Callithrix jacchus: one gene and its partners. The protein of the gene in region 1 purifies or fractionates together with the protein of each later gene. This does not show direct contact. Links are inferred from orthologs where the notes say so. Each region holds a gene or a part of one and is shown in the gene's direction. Other genes may lie near its edges.

What was found. Proteins that work in one complex are often made in the same cells at the same time.
Region 2: the proteins of CCP110 (region 1) and CEP76 purify together in Homo sapiens (co-immunoprecipitation; 4 studies listed by BioGRID and IntAct, with this or other methods). This does not show direct contact. The link is inferred for Callithrix jacchus from reciprocal best matches to the Homo sapiens genes CCP110 and CEP76.
Region 3: the proteins of CCP110 (region 1) and CEP290 purify together in Homo sapiens (co-immunoprecipitation; 6 studies listed by BioGRID and IntAct, with this or other methods). This does not show direct contact. The link is inferred for Callithrix jacchus from reciprocal best matches to the Homo sapiens genes CCP110 and CEP290.

What each region holds. Positions count from the first base shown.
Region 1 is NC_133513.1:20,945,299-20,951,416, forward strand, and holds part of CCP110 (centriolar coiled-coil protein of 110 kDa), read left to right. Parts: intron 1-1,375; coding exon 1,376-3,023; intron 3,024-6,118.
Region 2 is NC_133514.1:49,821,738-49,827,597, forward strand, and holds part of CEP76 (centrosomal protein of 76 kDa), read left to right. Parts: coding exon 1-260; intron 261-3,071; coding exon 3,072-3,289; intron 3,290-4,321; coding exon 4,322-4,460; 3' UTR 4,461-5,860. UniProt on the Homo sapiens protein: Centrosomal protein involved in regulation of centriole duplication. Required to limit centriole duplication to once per cell cycle by preventing centriole reduplication.
Region 3 is NC_133510.1:93,052,598-93,058,715, forward strand, and holds part of CEP290 (centrosomal protein of 290 kDa), read left to right. Parts: intron 1-432; coding exon 433-502; intron 503-801; coding exon 802-848; intron 849-3,159; coding exon 3,160-3,303; intron 3,304-6,118. UniProt on the Homo sapiens protein: Involved in early and late steps in cilia formation. Its association with CCP110 is required for inhibition of primary cilia formation by CCP110.

The sequences.
Region 1 (6,118 bases):
ATGTCTTGGGATTTGTAGGGTAAAATAGGAGCTCCATGTGGTCTAGAAAAAAGCACCTACAAAACAACCTAAAAATATTGTAATATTCAGGATTTTAAAGTCTGTATTCACGATAATAGAATAATGATTTTTGCCAGTTTAATACATGTATATATAACCTTTAGAAATCATCCTAGTTCTCTTTTTATTATTTTGCTAAGTTGGCTTATTTAGATACAAAGTATCTATTTTTACATTTATTTATTTATTTATTTATTTTTGAGGCAGAGTCTCACTCTGTCACCCAGGCTGGAGTACAATGGTGTGATCTCAGCTCACTGCAACCTCTGCTCCCAGGTTCAACCAATTCTCCTGCCTCAGCCTCCTGAGTAGTTGGGATTACAGGTGCCTGCCACCATGCATGTCCAATTTTTCTATTTTTTGTGGAGATGGGGCTTTGCCATGTTGGCCAGGCTGGTCTTGAGCTCCTGGCCTCAAGCCATTTGCCTGCCTTGGCCTCTCAAAGTGCTGGGATTACAGGCATGAGCCACGTCACCCGGCTTTACATATATTTAAAAAAATTTTTTTTCTTCGTGTATACAGTTGTTCTCTTCTTTATCTACTAAATTTTTACCTATTTTGGCTGTTCCGAAACTCATTAACAAGTTGCTATTTTAATTAATTAATCTAATTGAATTTTGTTTTAATGCATCAATTAATCTAATTGAATTTTGTTTTAATGAATTGAGTTTTAAGTTGAAATATTTCTTATTTCTAAATGATTTAAGCTGCCTGGCAGAGCTATTGTTTACTACAAATTTGCCTCATTTTATGGAGGATTTTAGTTAAACTTTGGAGTAAGCATGTGGGTGCAGGAGTCTTATTACTGAATCATTTTTGTTTAATCAATGTCCTGGAGAAGTTTTTGCTAGAGGGGAGTTGTTTATGTAAGACATTTCATTACTTCCTGTTTATTGCATATATTATCATCCTTGGATGATAGCTATTTTAATGTTAATAACATATGACTGGAAGAAAGTTAAGGAAAGTGCTTCTATCCAAGATTAAATTGCACAGAGATATATGAATATCTCTCTGTGTGTGTGTGTGTGTGTGTGTGTGTATATATATACATATATATATGTTCATATTTGTATCAGATTAATTTTCTTTTTTTTCTTTAATGACTTAGGCTGGATGACCAGTAGTGTTTTTTCAATAATAATTTGAGCCCCATGTGACATAGGATACCATGGAAACCTGTCATCTTAGTGTTTGTTTATGTTTTGAAATGTCAGAACTCCAAATCTTCAATTTATTTTATTTTAGAAAACAGTGAAATCAGAGACTTTTTTGTGTGATAAGGAAATACTAACTTTTAAATTTCCTCTTTCAGGTTAGAAAAGCACCTAATGCCAGTGATTTTGATCAGTGGGAGATGGAAACGGTTTACTCTAATTCAGAAGTCAGAAACTTGAATGTTCCTGCTACATTTCCAAATAGCTTTCCAAGCCATACTGAACATTCTACTTCAGTAAACCTTGATAACATAGCCGGGATTTTGCCATTGGATAATGAGGACCAATGTAAAACTAATGGAATAGGCTTAGCTAGAGATTCAGAAGGATTTAATTCTCTGAAGCAATGTGATAATTCCAATATTAGTCATGTAGAAAGTGAAGCTTTTCCAAAGACCTCTTCAGCAACCCCACAAGAGACTCTTATTTCTGATGGTCTCTTCTCAATAAATGAATCACAGGATCCACTACTTTTGGCAGAAGTCACCCCAGATCCCTATGTAATGAGTCTTCAGAATCTGATGAAAAAGTCAAAGGAATATATAGAAAGAGAACAATCTAGACGCAATCTGAGAGGTAGTACAATGAGAATTGTTAATGAGAGTCATTCAGAGAAAGAAAATGATGCTGTTGAAGTGGCTGACTTTGTTAAAGAGAAGGCCCCGTTGACAGGCAAACACTGTGTCTCAGTTATTCCCGACAAACCAAGCCTTAATAAATCAAATGTTCTTCTCCAAGGTGCTTCTGCTCACGCAAGCAGCATGAGTACGCCAGTTTTAGCTAGCTTTTCGAAAGTGGACATACCTGTACGAACTGGTCATTCCACTGTTCTAGAATCTAATTCGGATTTTAAAGTTATTCCCACTTTTGTTACTGAAAATAATGTTATCAAAAGTCTTACAGGTTCCTATGCCAAATTACCTAGTCCAGAGCCAAGTATGAGTCCTAAAATGCATCGAAGGAATTCCAGGACATCATCAGCATGTCATATACTTATAAATAACCCGATAAATGCCTGTGAATTAAGCCCTAAAGGAAAAGAACAGGCAATGGACTTAATTGTTCATGATACTGATGAAAAAACAAATGTGCCCAAAATTGTGCCAAAGTTACCAATTGATTTCGCAAGCGTTTGTTCAAGCATGGCTTATGTAGGCAAAAATACATCTGAAGTCATAGAAGATATGGTTTTAGGTAAAACAAATCAGGTATGTCAATCTTCAGGAAATTATTTAGAAAATAAAGTTACTCATGGACTTGTTACTGTGGAAGGTCAGTTAACATCTGATGAGAGAGGTGCACACAAAATGAACAGTACCTGTGCTGCGATGCCAAAGCTGCATGAACCATATGCCAGCAGTCAGTGCATAGCAAGTCAAAACTCTGGAACTGTGAGTGGACTCAAGCCAGCCAGTATATCAGAGAAAAACTGCAGTTTACAAATGGAACTGAATAAGTCTTATGATGTAAAAAATCCTTCTCCTTTACTGATGCAAAACCAGAATACGAGACAGCAGATGGACACACCTACGGTGTCCCATGGAAATGAACCATTTTTGGATAACAGTTTTGAGAAAGTTAAACGGAGACTTGATTTAGATATTGATGATTTGCAAAAAGAAAACTGCCCTTATGTCATAACAAGTGGAATAACTGAACAAGAAAGGCAACATTTGCTAGAAAAAAGATACACCAAGGGACCTGTCTTCATTAACAAGAATAAAATGTTAGAAACCAGTTCCAAAGGTAAGGAATCCTTGAAGTGTTTTATACTGCAAATGATACCTTTATTTTAATACTCTTAACTGACATTTTTGGGGAAAAAAATGGTCTTTATTTATATGGGCACTTAATTTTATTTATCTTATTAGAAAGCATATAGTCAGCTACAGTTTATTGCCATTTGATAGACTTTCTTAAAAGATTTTCTTGAGACAAGGTCTGGCTCTGTCACCCCAGGTTGGAGTGAAGTGGCATGATCTCAGCTCACTTCAACCTCCGCCTCCTGGGCTCAAGCCATCCTCCCACCTCATCCTCTGAAGTAGCTGGGACTACAGGCTCATGCCACCATGCCTGACTAATTTTCATATTAGTCAGCGATGGTGTTTCCGCCATGTTGCCCAGGCTGGTCTGAAACTCGTGAGCTCAAGTGAGCATCCCGTCTTGGCCTCCCAAAGCTCTGGGATTACAGACATGAGCCACTGCACTGGGCCAGGATTTTCTTTTTTGAGACAGTCTGGCACAGTTGCCCAGGCTGGAGTGCAGTGGCGCAAGCTTGGCTAACTGCTATCTCTGCCTCCTGGTTCAAGCAATTCTCATGCCTCAGCCTCCTGAGTAGCTGGGATTACAGGCGTGCCTCGTTGGATTTTATTTAAATGATGAAGCTTTCATAGTCCACTTGGTATTACTGAGAATATTATTCATAACTGGAGGAAAGAGTTCCTTTTTTTTTTTTGAGATAGAGTCTTGCTCTGTTGCCAGGCTCTTAGTCCTTATTGGGATCTTAGCTCACTGCAATCCCTGCTTCTGGGTTCAAGTGATTTTTGTGCCTCAGCCTCCTGAGTAGCTGGGATTACAGGTGCGCACCACTGCACCCAGCCCAAAACAGTTCTTGCCTGAAACACACTTATAGTTTAATTCAGTGTATAACTATGAGGTCTTTCTTTTGGACTATGGTTTCTAATGTTTACTTCAGTTTGCTTTTTCATTTGTAGTGTGATCTTCATGTAGTTGGCCCTTCAGTAGACTCTTTAATGTCAAATTATTAGACGAAGTATCAGAAATAAGGCTCTGAGTAGTGGTTCAAGAATGGTTCTTTAGGCTGGGCACGGTGGCTTACGCCTGTAATCCCGACACTTTGGGAGGCTGAGGCAGGTGGATCACTTGAGGTCAGGAGTTCAGCCTGACGAACATGGTGAAACCCCATCTCTACTAAAAATACAAAAATTAGCTGGGCTTAATGGTGCATGTCTGTAATCCCAGCTACTTGGGAGACTGAGGCAGGAGAATTGCATGAACTCGGGAGGTGGAGGCTGCAGTGAGCTGCAATTGCACCATTGCACTCCAGCCTAGGCAGAGCCAGACTCCGTCTCAAAAAAAAAAAAAAAAAAGAATGCGTCTTTATTAATAAACATTATTTCAGTTTTTTCTGTTGTATCCATTAACAAGAATTTATGAAAGCATGTTTCTTTCCTTCATTACTCCTTACTTTGTTGTCATGGTTCATAATTTATTACTGATATAGAAGACATAAATCAAATAAATGAAGCTCTTAGGGCTTATGGGAAATACAGTGTTGGGTCAGACTGCTTAAAACCTGTGCAACTTTATTTTTTTTAATTAAAAAAAAATTTTTTTGAGATAGGGTCTTTGCTGTGTCGCCCGGGCTGGATTGCTTTCATGTGATCTCGGCTCACTGCAGGCCTGGGTTTAAGAGATTCTCCCACCTCAATCTTCCAAGTAGTTGGGATTTACAGGCATGCACCACCACACCCAGCTAATTTTTGTATTTTTTGTGGAGACAGGGTTTCACCATGTTGGCCAGGCTAGTCTTGAACTCCTAAGCTCAAGTGATCAGCCCTCCTTGGCCTCCCAAAGTGCTGGGATTACAGCTTTGAGCCATCAGTCCTGGCCTATCCTGTGCAACTTTATCAGAGCTCTAATAAAAACAACCACAGTTACCTGGGGAGCCAACTTGAATATTCTAAGTAGATAGCATAGCAAGGTTAGAGGCTGCCTCAGTGAATATCAGAAATACATAAGACTAACGGAGTGGAAATTTCTTTCATTTTTTTTTTTTTTTGGAGATGGAGTTTCGCTCTTGTTGCCCAGGCTAAAGTGCAATGGCGCAATCTTGGCTCACTACAGCCTCCACCTCCCAGGTTCAAGCAACTCTCCTGCCTCAGCCTCCCAAATAGCCGGGATTACAGACATGCACCACTAAGCCCAGCTAATATTTGTATTTTTAGTAGAGATGGGGTTTCACCATGTTAGTCAGGCTGGTCTTGAACTCCTGACCTCAAGTGATCCACCTGCCTCAGCCTCCCAAAGTGTTGAGATTACAGGCATGAGCCATCATTCCAAGCCTGGAGTGGCAATTTCTAGTAAGTGCTTTAATGCAAGATGAGCCTCCAGTCTTGGAGGCAGTCAGGTAGCTGTCAAAGTGGGCAAGGGAGACAGTGCCATGTGCTGAGAGCTGCCCTCAGCCTAGTGGGCCTTTTTGTAGAGTTTTTGAGATAGAGCTGAATGGACTCCTGTTGACTGAGCACTTGAGTTGAGGGGCTTTTTCCTTTCTTGCTGAAGGTTTTAATTCTACTTTTCAGCTTCCCTTGCCTATGAAAAGCTACATATAAACAAATGCAGGCTGGGCATGGTGGCTTATACCTACAATCCTAGCACTTTGTGAGGCCATGGCAGGAGGATCACTTGAGGCCAAGAGTTCAAAAGCAGCCTGGGCAGTATGGCAAGACCCCATCTCTGCAAAATATACAAAAATTAGCCTGGTGTGCTGGCATGTGCCTGTAGTCCCAGCTACTCTGGAGGCTGAGGTGGGAGGATCATATGAGCCCTAGAGTTTGAGTCTGCAGTGAGCCGTGTTGGCACTACTGCACTCTAGCCTGGGCAACAGAGCAAGACTAGATCTTAAAAAAAAAAAAAAAAAAATTAAAAAATCATATTGTTGTAGTTGAATAAGATGTTTTTAGGAACAAATTATGGGAAGACTGTAGCAGTAGGACAGTAGTACATAAGATACTTTAGGGAAAATCATTGACTGTATATTTGGGAAGAATGATTTGTTGAATTTAGCTGAATTATAATGGATCCATGAATATATACTTGCT
Region 2 (5,860 bases), on another chromosome or scaffold:
CAATTGGTTGTGTTTTCAACCATCAAATGTTCCTGGGAAATTGTCAACCCTCTGATGCAGTAGAAACCTGTGTATTTGATTTGAATGATGAATCCAAATGGAAACCCATGAGTGAGGAAGCAATTAAATCCGTGTGTGCTCCTGGAGCTACAACGTCCCTTCCTCCCTTTCCACCTCTGTGTGCATCCACAATTGATGCGTCAGTAACCAGTAATGAAATTGAAATGCAACTGAGGCTCCTAGTATCAGAACACAGGAAGGTAATTCACACTGAAATAGTTGTAGTTTCATACTTTTTTCATTTCTTTATGTATTTAACTATTTTTTTGGTGTGCGTGATAGTGCCAGTCGGTATTCTAGCCCCAAACAAAGCAACTACAGTCCCTACTATTAACATTGTAATTTTGAAAGTCATGAGAGTTCAAGTTCTAAGACTCAGAAATCTCCAAATTCATTAATGCTTATAGAATGTATTACTTCCTTCTAGAAATGAAGGTTCAAGCAATTCTTCTGCCTCACCCTTCTGAGTAACTGGGATTATAGACGTGCCACCATGCCCGGCCAATTTTTGTATTTTTGTAGAGATGGGGTTTCACCATATTGGTCAGGCTGGTCTTGAACTCCTGACCTCAAGTGATCCACCCTCCTCAGCCTCCCAAAGTGCTGGGATTACAGTCTTGAGCCACTGCATCCAGCCAGATCAAGCCTCTTGTCTAATAGCATGTAGATTTCCTTTGTAAAGTACCTTAAGGAACACATAAAAAGTATTAGTCATAAGGAAAAGATTAATATATTTTACAGACAAGTTCATCAAAAGAAAACATTAAGAGATTGAAGCTGTGGAGTGGGAAAAGTTATTTGTAATACATATTACCATGAAAAGACTAGAATCCAAAATTCCTACAAAAGGTTTATTTCTGATTCACCTTTTGGGGTTCCTTATTCCACTCTCTACCGTGGGTGTTTTCTGTGTTCTTTGAGGCTGTCAAAGGCAAACTGATTTATCAAACATGTTCTCTGGGTTCCCAGTTACTCTTAGCTTTGGCCTCTAATATATTCCTTATTCAGGCTAGGCACGGTGGCTAATGCCTGTAATCCCAGCACTTTGGGAGGCTGAGGTGGGCAATTCACCTGAGGTTGGGAGTTTGAGACCAGCCTGACCAACATGGAGAAACCCTGTCTCTACTAAAAAATATAAAATTAGCTGGGCATGGTGGCACATGCCTGTAATTTCAGCTACTCGGCAGGCTGAGGCAGGAGAATTGCTTGACCCCAGGAATTGGAGGTGCGGTGAGCCAAGATCATGCCATTGTACTCCAGCCTGGCCAAGAAGAGCAAAACTTCGTCTTAAAAAAATGTGTGTGTGTGTGTGTACATATTCCTTATTTGCTTGTCAACTCATCAAAGCATTTAAATGTATATTTTGGAAAATCTGGAGTTTGTAGTGTGTTTTTAAGCAAGAGTTGATCAGGAGACCTCTGGTCCATTATATTGCTGGAGATGAAAGCCCCTTATTACTTTCTCTTTCCTTCCATCACTTGTATTACCTTTAGCTTTCTTTTCTTAGGTTCTGCTTATAAATAAAAGCAATATTTTATTTTATAATAATTACTTTTGGCCAGGCACAGTATCTCACACCTGTAATCCCAGCAGTTTGGGAGCCTGAGATGGTTGGATCACTTGAGCTCAGGAGTTCAAGACCAGCCTGGGTGAGAATCCATCTCTACAAAAAAATACAAAAATTTAGCCGGGCATCGTGTCACATGCCTATAGTCCCAGCTACTTGGATGCTAAGGTGAAAGGATCAGTTTAACTGGGGAGGCAGAAGTTGTAGTAAGCTGAGATGATACCACTGCACTCTAGTCTGGGTGACAGGGTAAGACCCTGTCTCAAAAAAAAAAGGAATTACTGTTTATAGAAAAAGAAAATAAAGCTGTGATAGATGCCAGTGTTGATCACTACTTAAGGGTGCCTATAAATCAGCAAAGGTTCACATTTTGCCACGGGAAAAGCATTGTTAATCATGGACCTTTGAGATCATTTGTGACAAGTTACCTTGAATGTAAAATAAGGAAATGCCAAACATCTATTATGATAATCAAAATATCTAGAATTTGGAGAATTTTTTATATTTGTAACAATATTATTTTTAACTTCTTGTGTCTAGATAGCAATAGGTCATTTGGTGTTATAAATGGAATCATGGGCTGGGCTCAGTGGCTCACACCTGTAAATCCTAGCACTTTGGGAGGCCAAGGTGGGTGGAACACTTGAGGTCAGAAGTTTGACATCAGCCTGGCCAACACGGTGAAACCCTGTCTTTACTAAAAATACAAAAATTGGTTGGGCTTGCTGGCGGGTACCTGTAATCCTAGCAACTCCTGAGGGTGAGGCAGGAGAATCGCTTGAACCTGGGAGGCAGAAGTTGCAGTGAGCCAAGATCGCACCACTGCACTCCAGCCTGGGCAACAGAGTAAGACTCTGTCTCAAAAAATTAAAAAAAAAAAAAATGGAATCATGTTGTTTTTAACATTCTATAGAAATATGTTTTAAGCCCCCTAGGGGCCTATAACATGTCTTCATCTTTTTATCTCTTACACTAAGTTTTATAGAGTACATGTTCAGTAAATATTTGTTTAATTACATATAGGATTCATTTGCTGACTTTGCTCCCCTCTGCAGTTGAGTTTATGGTAGGAACAGTCAGTCTTTAGTAAACAGATTCAATCTTAATAAACTCTTTAAGTAAAATATCTCAAAATTCACTAACACTCCATATTAGGACTGTTTCATACAGTATTTTCTAGTAGATATTAAAGAAGTACAGGATTTGGAGCCTTCATGAAACATCACTGTTTCGAATGTTTGGTTTTTCTGAGAAGTAAAATCTGATCACCTATAGTTTCTTTTATCTGACTTTTATTTCTATGCATCTTTGTAATTATGAAAATATTATGATAGCTTTTAAAAATCTTTTCTTGGTATACATTAAAATAATCAACATTTTTATTTAGCTGGTTTTAAAAATATTAATGTATTTCATTTTTTCTTTTTCTCTTGATTGCTTATAGGACCTTGGTCTCACTACTGTTTGGGAAGACCAGCTGTCCTATCTTCTTTCACCAGCTTTGGCTTCTTATGAATTTGAGCGTACAACAAGTATATCAGCAGGCAATGAAGAATTTCAAGATGCCATAAGAAGGGCTGTACCTGATGGTCATACATTTAAAGGGTTCCCAATACATTTTGTGTATAGAAATGCAAGACGTGCATTTGCCACATGTCTTCGGTAAGATGTAATTTGTGGAATCAGGTTTTCAGTTTAGGAATCTTAGAGATCAGTCTGATAGGGGTTTTTTATTTCCTTTTTTTTTTTCAAAGTCAAGGTCTCACTGTGCTGTCCACACTGGAGTACAGTGGCACATTTATGGTTCACTGCAGCCTTGACTTCCCGGGCCCGTGAAAGGCCTTCCACCTCACCCTCCCAAGCAACTGGGGCCACAGGCATGCACCATCATACTTGGCTATTTTTTTTCTTTATTTTGTAGAGATGGGGGTCTTCCTGTGTTGCCCAGGCTGGTATTGAAATTCCTGGGCTCAAGCAGTCTTCCCACTTTGTCCTCCTAAAGTGCTGGGATTACAGGTATGAGCCATTGTACCTGGCCTAATCTGGTAGTTATTTAGGAATGACATCAGAGTCACATGGGATCTTTTACAATGACTTACCCTCCTTGCCACAGATTTTGATTCATTAGGTCTGAAATGTAGCCCTAGATAGTCTGGGATTATTTTCTCAGTGATTTTGGTACAGTCTCAGTCAGGTATCTCTGATTTTGTTTGGACAATATGGAAATAGTCTATGATTTGAATAGCTTGACCAAAATTACAGTGTCTTTGATAGCATTGACAGAATTTGAAAAAATTATTTTATTTATTATTCATTTTTGAGATGGAGTCTCAGTCTGTTGCCTAGGCTGGAGTACAGTGGCACAATCTTGGCTCATCACAACCTCCGCCTCCCGGGTTCAAGAGATTCTTCTGTCTCAGCCTCCCAAGTAGCTGGGATTACAGGTGCCTGCCACCACACCTGGCTAATTTTTGTAATTTTTAGTAGAGACGGGTTTCACCATGTTGGCCAAGCTTGTCTTGAACTCCTGACCTCAGATGATCCACCTGCCTCAGCCTTCCAAAATTCTGGGATTACAGGCATGAACCACCTTCCCTAGCCTGAAAAAATTATTTTAAATATTGATTTACTTGGAAATAAAAAAGTGAGGTGCATGGTCACTTCTTAATTGAATATATATTTTTTCTTAAATAGATCTCCTTTCTGTGAAGAAATAATCTGTTGCCGTGGAGACCAAGTGCGACTGGCAGTTCGTGTCCGAGTGTTTACTTACCCTGAATCTGCATGTGCTGTTTGGATCATGTTTGCTTGTAAATATCGCTCGGTATTATAGGGCCAACATTTCTATAAGAATTATACCTGTGTTTAATTGGAATTTTACACATTGTACATTATTTAGCTATTTAGAGGTTTGTTATTTTAAAATCACAATCTGGCTTGAATGACGTATTTCAATTTTGTATATACTTGACTGGTAATGTTTAGAAAAATCATGTTGTGTTCCTTTAAAAATTAAGGGTGAAAAATTTCTATAAATCACCCTGGAATTTAGTATAAATTAAGTGTATATTTTAATAAATGCTACTTTGTTTACAGGTATCAGTAGTTTAAATATTAATATAAAATGCACTTAGTTTTCTTTACACTAAAAAGTAATCGAAGAGATGTCTAAGGGTTTAAGCCCTAGAAAAATCGATATGATCATGATTTTTCATAGATTAATGGGATTATTTTATACAAATTAGGAGAAATTAACCTCATGACAGATTTAGTTATTGCATTTGTGAAAATAAATGTTGATGAATTGCCACATTTGTGGTTTATTCCTGGCCCTTGTGATATTTGAGACAGCCCAGAAATTTATGGTCAGACCTTGAAATAAGAGTAGGACAAAATTAATATCAGAAAAGCATAAATATTAATAAGCTCACATGAAAATACATGAATCATTTAGAAACATTTATCAGTGTGATTTGTTGTAAAAATGAATTGGGTATTTTAGAAAAAATTTATTATACCTCTTTGTTATGATATTGTGATCTTAGCAGTGTATCACTGATTTTCTGTGGTCAGAGGATTGATTACTAGCCTCTTCATGGATTCTATTTTCTGAAACCTCTTTTTTCCTTCTTTTCATTGTGATGAAAACATCAGCATACATGTGACTAATCTAAATGAGAGATTGATTGTGTGAGGCCACTGAAAAAAGTTTTTAAGGCCCAGCGCAGTGGCTTATGCCTGTAATCCCAGCACTCTGGGAAGCTGAGGCTGGTAGATCACTTGAGATCAGGAGTTCATGACCAGCTTGGGCAATATGGTAAAACCCTGTCTCTACTAAAAATACAAAAATTAGGCTGGGTGCAGTGGCTCACACCTGTAATCCCAGCTACTTGGGAGGCTAAGGCAGGAGAATCATTTGAACCCAGGAGGTGGAGGTTGCAGTGAGGCAAGATTGTGCCACTGCACTCCAGCATAAGCAACAGAGTGAGACTCCATCTCAGTTAAAACAAACAAAAAGATTAGCTGGGTGTGGTGGCGCATGCCTTGTGATCTCAGCTACTGGGAGGCTGAGGCAGGAGAATAGCTTGAACCCAGGAGGTGGAGGTTACAGTGAGCTGAGATTGTACCACTGCACTCCAGCCTGGGCGACAGAGCGAGATTTCATCTCAAGAAAGAAAAAAAAAGACTAGCAATTCAACTTTTTGCAAGAAGCTGCATGATATGAGGAGTTTG
Region 3 (6,118 bases), on another chromosome or scaffold:
GGTTGCTAAGGCAGGAGAATTGCTTGAGCCTAGGAGTTTGAGACTGGCCTGCATAATACGGCGAATAATACAGTGAGACTTTGTCTCTACGAAAAAATTTAAAGTCTTGCTGATCATGGTGGTATGCACCTGTAGTCCCAGCTACTCAGGAGACTGAAGTGGGAAGTTTGCTTGAGCCTAGGAGGCAGAGGTTGCAGTGAGCTGAGATTGTGTCGCTGCACTCCAGCCTGGGTGACAAAGTGAGGCCCTGTCTCAAAAAAAAAAAAAAAAAAAAAGAAAGAAAAATTATGTATTTATTTAACAAATATTTACTGAAAATCGCCATGTGCCCCCCATTGCTGACACTAAGAATCATAATAAATACAATTTTTGTTTTCAGTGCTTACATTCTAGTACAAAGGCATATTGAAATAACCTTTTTTTAATGTTTAGATGAAAGCTCAAGAAGTAGAGCTGGCTTTGGAAGAAGTAGAAAAAGCTGGAGAAGAACAAGCAAAATTTGGTAAGCAACTTGGAAAAAAGTTTATGGTATTAAATAATAAATTCCATGTGTTCATTAAGCTGTAGAAAATCAAATTTATTCTATAAGATGTATATAGTTTATTTTTAATATATAACATTTACTTAATAATAAGCAATTCTAGACTCCTATTTTATGGATCTGCCATATAATTCTTTTTGATACCTTATAGTCATGATGGAGTCTTTTAAAAGAATTAATTTTGTTATTTAAATTTATTTAAAAGTTTGTTTTGTGGTAGCTAATGTATGAAAACATTTGTCTTTTTTTTTAAAAAACAGAAAATCAATTAAAAACTAAAGTAATGAAACTGGAAAATGAACTGGAGGTATGTCTTTTTGTATTTCCTAGAATGTAATTGTCATAAATTTTATTTTGCATTGTTTTCAAATTTTAAAATTATTATTGGCTGGAAAAGTTATAAGGATGATAGTAATCATGGTTATTTGCTTTTTCAGTATATATTCTCGGATTGAGCATACAGTTGTGAATGAAATTAAAACAGTTAACTGCTATATGGAGCTTGCAGTCTTGGGAAATACATAGAAAGCTTACTAGTAACTGAGGTGGAGCGTGGGTGGGGAGTTGGGGAATAATGACCAAAGGGTTTTATAGAAGTAATTTTTTACAAAGCTGAGGGCTAAAGTATGAATGTATTGTTGAGGAACTAAATTCAGATTCCTGAAAAGGTAGGGATGGATCAGCTTTTGAAACGGATCAGCCTTTGAAAGAAGGAATACCCTTTTCCTTGTGTTAGGAGAGAAGGAAGAGTAGATGAGGGGAGGAACAGTAGATGTATGTAGAAGCCTTTATGTTTGTAGGCATAGTGCCTGGAAGTTGAGAGGTCAGTGATGATGTCATCTGTTAGAAAGAGTGGGAGATGGTGTGGTCACATTTTAAGAAAATCAGATAAAATTTGAAATGTAATGGAGAAAAGACTGGAGAGTTGGGGATCTGGAGTCAGACAGATTTGAGTTCTAGTCCTGATTCTTTTATTTGTTAATTCTCTGAACTTGGATGACTTGTTATTTTGATTGTATATCCAGCTCCTGGAAAAATGCCAAGTACTTTCAATAAATACTCATTAAATGAATTATGGAGTTGAATCAATTCTGTGTTAATGTTTAGATAGGCACCTGCTATACAATAGAAGAGTAAGACAGTTTTGAAGATATTGGTAGGAAAGTGGTTGAAGTGGTGATTATGAAGTCTCAACTGAATAGATAAGAAAGTCAAGATTGGGGTTGGGTGGGCAGAAGGGTAGGGATAAGGAGTGAGAAGTCGAGGGATTAGTGTCCTGTGAGGTCAAAGGACAGGCATAGTGGGAATAATTGAAAGAATGTTTCTGATTGGACAAGGATTTGATGTTGGTGTGTCAGTGAGAGATGATAGTGAATTCAAGAAACAAGAAAAAAAAAATAGACTAGAACAAAAGTTATGTGGAAATTGCTTGGGGATTTGATGAACGTCTGTGAGGCACATGCTTAAATTCCCAGTACATTTTGCAGAGTCACTGGGAAGTTGGTGGTTTGCTGCTACCATGAGTAGGTAAAGATGGAGAGCTGGATATCTTGTGAGAAAGCAGCTGAGGTTTTCATAGGATGATGGAGGAATGATAGGAATGATCACGTGAAGTTGCAGGGTAGAGTAAACCTAGAAGTACCAACACCTCCTCCTGACCCTAATGTATATGGGCTGTGAAAGAATGAGCACCTTCCAACTGAAAGAGTTCCAAGGGCATTAGTATCCTAAAGGATCCAAATTGCAGCTAAGGCAAGGAGATGGAAAGGATGATTCAGTAAATAATCTGAGGTTGTGAAATATTTATCTTGGAAGAAGACTTTAGCACAGGGAATGCTTTTTGAAGGAGAGAAAGAGTGTGAAAAATTTGGTTAAGGTAGAGGAAAAACAGAACTATAAGGTGAAGAGATAAATGTGAGACAGGTTAGATGACCAAATGATTTGATGTTCTGGGACATGACCTAAATTAACAAGAATATGAAATAAAATGGATTTAGTTGGCTACAAATCTTAAAGATAAATGAAACCTGAGTTGTTCAGTAAAGTGGCACTAACACTAGCTATTTATATTTCTATTTGTTAAAATTAAAATGAAAAATTTAGTTCTTCAGTTACAGTAGCTACACTTCAAATACCCAAACATAGCTACATGTAACAAGTGGCTACTGAACTGAACAGCAGAGAGAGCATGTCTATTATCCTAGAAAGTCCTGTTGGGCAGCACTGGTCTAAATAGTGCATGATATGAGAGAAAGGGCAGGTTAAGGCACTAAACTTCACTAACAGCGACGGAGTTTCTCATGGTTCGTACACGGGTTCCAGATCTCTGCGGCTTAGGACCTTTGCCTTTAGTCTGCTACCTGTTGGCCAGTGGTTACAACAGAATGATTAACAGTCAATTCTTTGTAGCTCTGGGTGGCTCAGGAGAAGTTTAAAGACTTACTAGCTGTGAACTAACGCTTAGGTAAGTTAAATTAAAAAAAAAAGATTCTTAATATGATTTTAAATATCTGCACTGAAATATAATGAAAATTTAAAGTCAAGATAAGTTGCTTATTGTTGAATCATTTGAACTTCAAAATATAATATAATTTATACTTTGGGTTTATTACTTTGAGATGGCTCAGCGGTCTGCAGGTGGTCGGGATACTCGGTTTTTACGTGATGAAATTCGCCAACTTGAAAAGCAATTAGAACGAAAAGATAGAGAATTGGAGGACATGGAAAAGGAGTTGGAGAAAGAGAAGAAAGTTAATGAGCAAGTAAAGCACTTTTTTTTCCATGAATCTTCACTGTTCAAGTTACCTGGCTTTTTATAATTATTGGTAACAATATCAATTTTTGTATTGTATGTTATATTTGAGGAATGATGTACACTTATAAGATTTTATAACACTGTTCATTTTGTCATCACAAATTTTAAAATATAATGGAACAGGTACTTTTAGTGAATATGACTTGAAGATTAATTCTTTATATTTGGAGGTACATTTTTCTCAGGATATATCACACTTACTACCTAAAATTGATGCTTTTGTCTGGAAGATTAGTGTCAAGAAACTAATAGACTTGCATAAAGAAGTGATCTTAGTATCATAGTTTATTTTGCATAAAAGTTATATTTGTTTATTTCAATGTATTTATATGATTAGTAGATTTGGAAATGAATCTTTTGATGATACATTCAATAATGTTTAATTAAATTTCTTGTTTTTGGTTGTATCCTTATATATGAGATATATATATATTGTTTTTGAAAAGTGTTAATCTCAACATTTTATCAATGATATTTAAAATAACATGTTTAATACATAGTTTTTATTAACTCATGTTATTCCTTGTTGTAAACTAATAATTTTTGCAGTGTTCCCTGGGATTTAGTTTTGGAAAAAAAGTTTTTTGCAGGTAAATTTGTATTTTCTTGAAGAAAATTTCCTATTTTACCTCAGCTTCTTATTTAATGTTTTATTTATTTATTAACATTTCTATTTAACACTTACTTGTTTTTTATTTCACCTCAGCTATTAGTAAACTTAGTAAAATTTGGTGCCTACATGTGGTAACTGTCCTGTCTCTTATACTCAGAAACATTTTTTACCTTTGTGTCCTTTAAGTCATTATTATGTTATATTCTGTTTATTTCATTTTGTTCATTATTCTCTCAGAAATAGAGGGTCATACATTTTAAGAAAACAGTGATATGCTATTTAAGAGAATCAATCTCACTTGAGACCCAGAGTTCAAAACCAGCCTGGCCAACATGGCAAAAACCCCATCTCCACTAAAAATACAAAAAAAATTAGTCGAACCTAGTGGGGAGTGCCTGTAATCCCAGCTAGTTGGGTAGTTGAGGCAGAAGAGTTGCTCGAACCCAGGAGGCAAGAGGTTGCAGTGAGCCGAGATTGCACCACTGCACTCCAGCCTGGGCAACAGAAATGAGACTCTGTCTCAAACAACAATAATAATAAGAGCATCTATCATAAATTGATTTTTAAGGGAAACTATTCCTTACAAATTTCTTACATGTATCTATTTTACTCCAAAATTTTAAAGAACCATATAAAAGCTATCAAAACAACGTGGTAGAGAAAGTATGGATTGATGCCACTTAAATGTTAAGAACAAGTTCTTAGAGCATTGTCTGGTTAGTTAACTCTGCAAAACATAACAGACATGTGGATTTTTTAATAGTTATAAAGGATCTAACTTATGATATTCACTGGTAGAATTGCCTAGGGGAATGCCTGTGGTTTTCTTGACTTTTATTCTTCTCTTTAGGCCTGTATCAGTTGACTTATCATTCATACCACACACTCTTAGCTAATCAGAACTACCTTGTCCATTTATATCTTAGACTATTATCTTTACTCATAGTTTCACACAGAGAAAACTTAAATATATGGCCTGTGTTCCTTTTCGGCTGCTAAGTTCCTTGAGATGAAATACGGATATAGTTGCTTTGGTAATTACTTCTTTGCCCTTAACCAGTCATTGAGTTTTAGTGAGTCTTTACAGCATACCAGAGACTGTGCTAGTTGCTAGTGATATAGTGGGCAACTATGTTCTGCTTCTCAAGGATATTTACAGTCAATAATAAGCATAACATAGTGATAATATGTTACTTAGGAAGATATATCAGGACATATTCTGGGATACTCTGGAGAGGGATGCCATAATCAGTCTTAAGGTTCAGGATGTGATCTGTGAACTGAGACCTGAAGTAGAAGTTAGACTGGTAAGAGGAATGAGAATGTATATGGTGGTTAAAGAAAGAACATTCTGGGTAGAAGGTAACACATTTGCTAAGACCTAGAAGTAAGAGATGTTATGGAGTATTTAGGAAGCTACAGTTATTCATTTTGACTGGAATATAAGTGAAAATAGCTTCCATGGAGTCCTTACTATGTGTCAGGCACTTCATATGAATTAATTCATTTTTGCTTATTTCATACTTATCATATGAAATGTCATTTCTACCATGATACAGATGAAGAAATGGAGACAAAGAAAGGTAATTGCCATGGTTACACAGCTTATAAGTGGTAATGATAGGATTTGAAAACAGTCTTACTCAAGAGTCTGTGCTAAATTGCCTTCCCAGTTTTAATTCTTACGATCCTCTGGAGAAATAAGCAAGGGCCAGTTCCTTGATGAATTTGGTTCTTTTCATAAAAGGAGTCAATGAAGAGTTCTGAGCACAGGATATAGTAAGATCTATACTTTAAAAGTTTACTGTACTTTGTGGAGAGTGGATTGAAAGGGGCCAACACTAGTAAGGAGATATTTGTGTTAATTCAGGCAAGCCCTAATGATGGGATTTGCCTGAGACAGACAAATGTGAGAGAAGTAGATGTAATTGGATGTGGTGAATTTGTAATTGGTTGTTGGAGGAAACGGATGATGGAGAATTTGCCTAATTTTGTGGGTTGGGCCACTAAACAGGTAGATAGTGCCATTCACTAAGGAGGAACATATGAGGCATTTGGAAAGTTTGGGATTATTTCAGTTTTATAGATGTTGAGTTTGAGATTCTTGTGGGCATATTCAGAAAGGGTGATCTGTGGTAATGGAATTCAC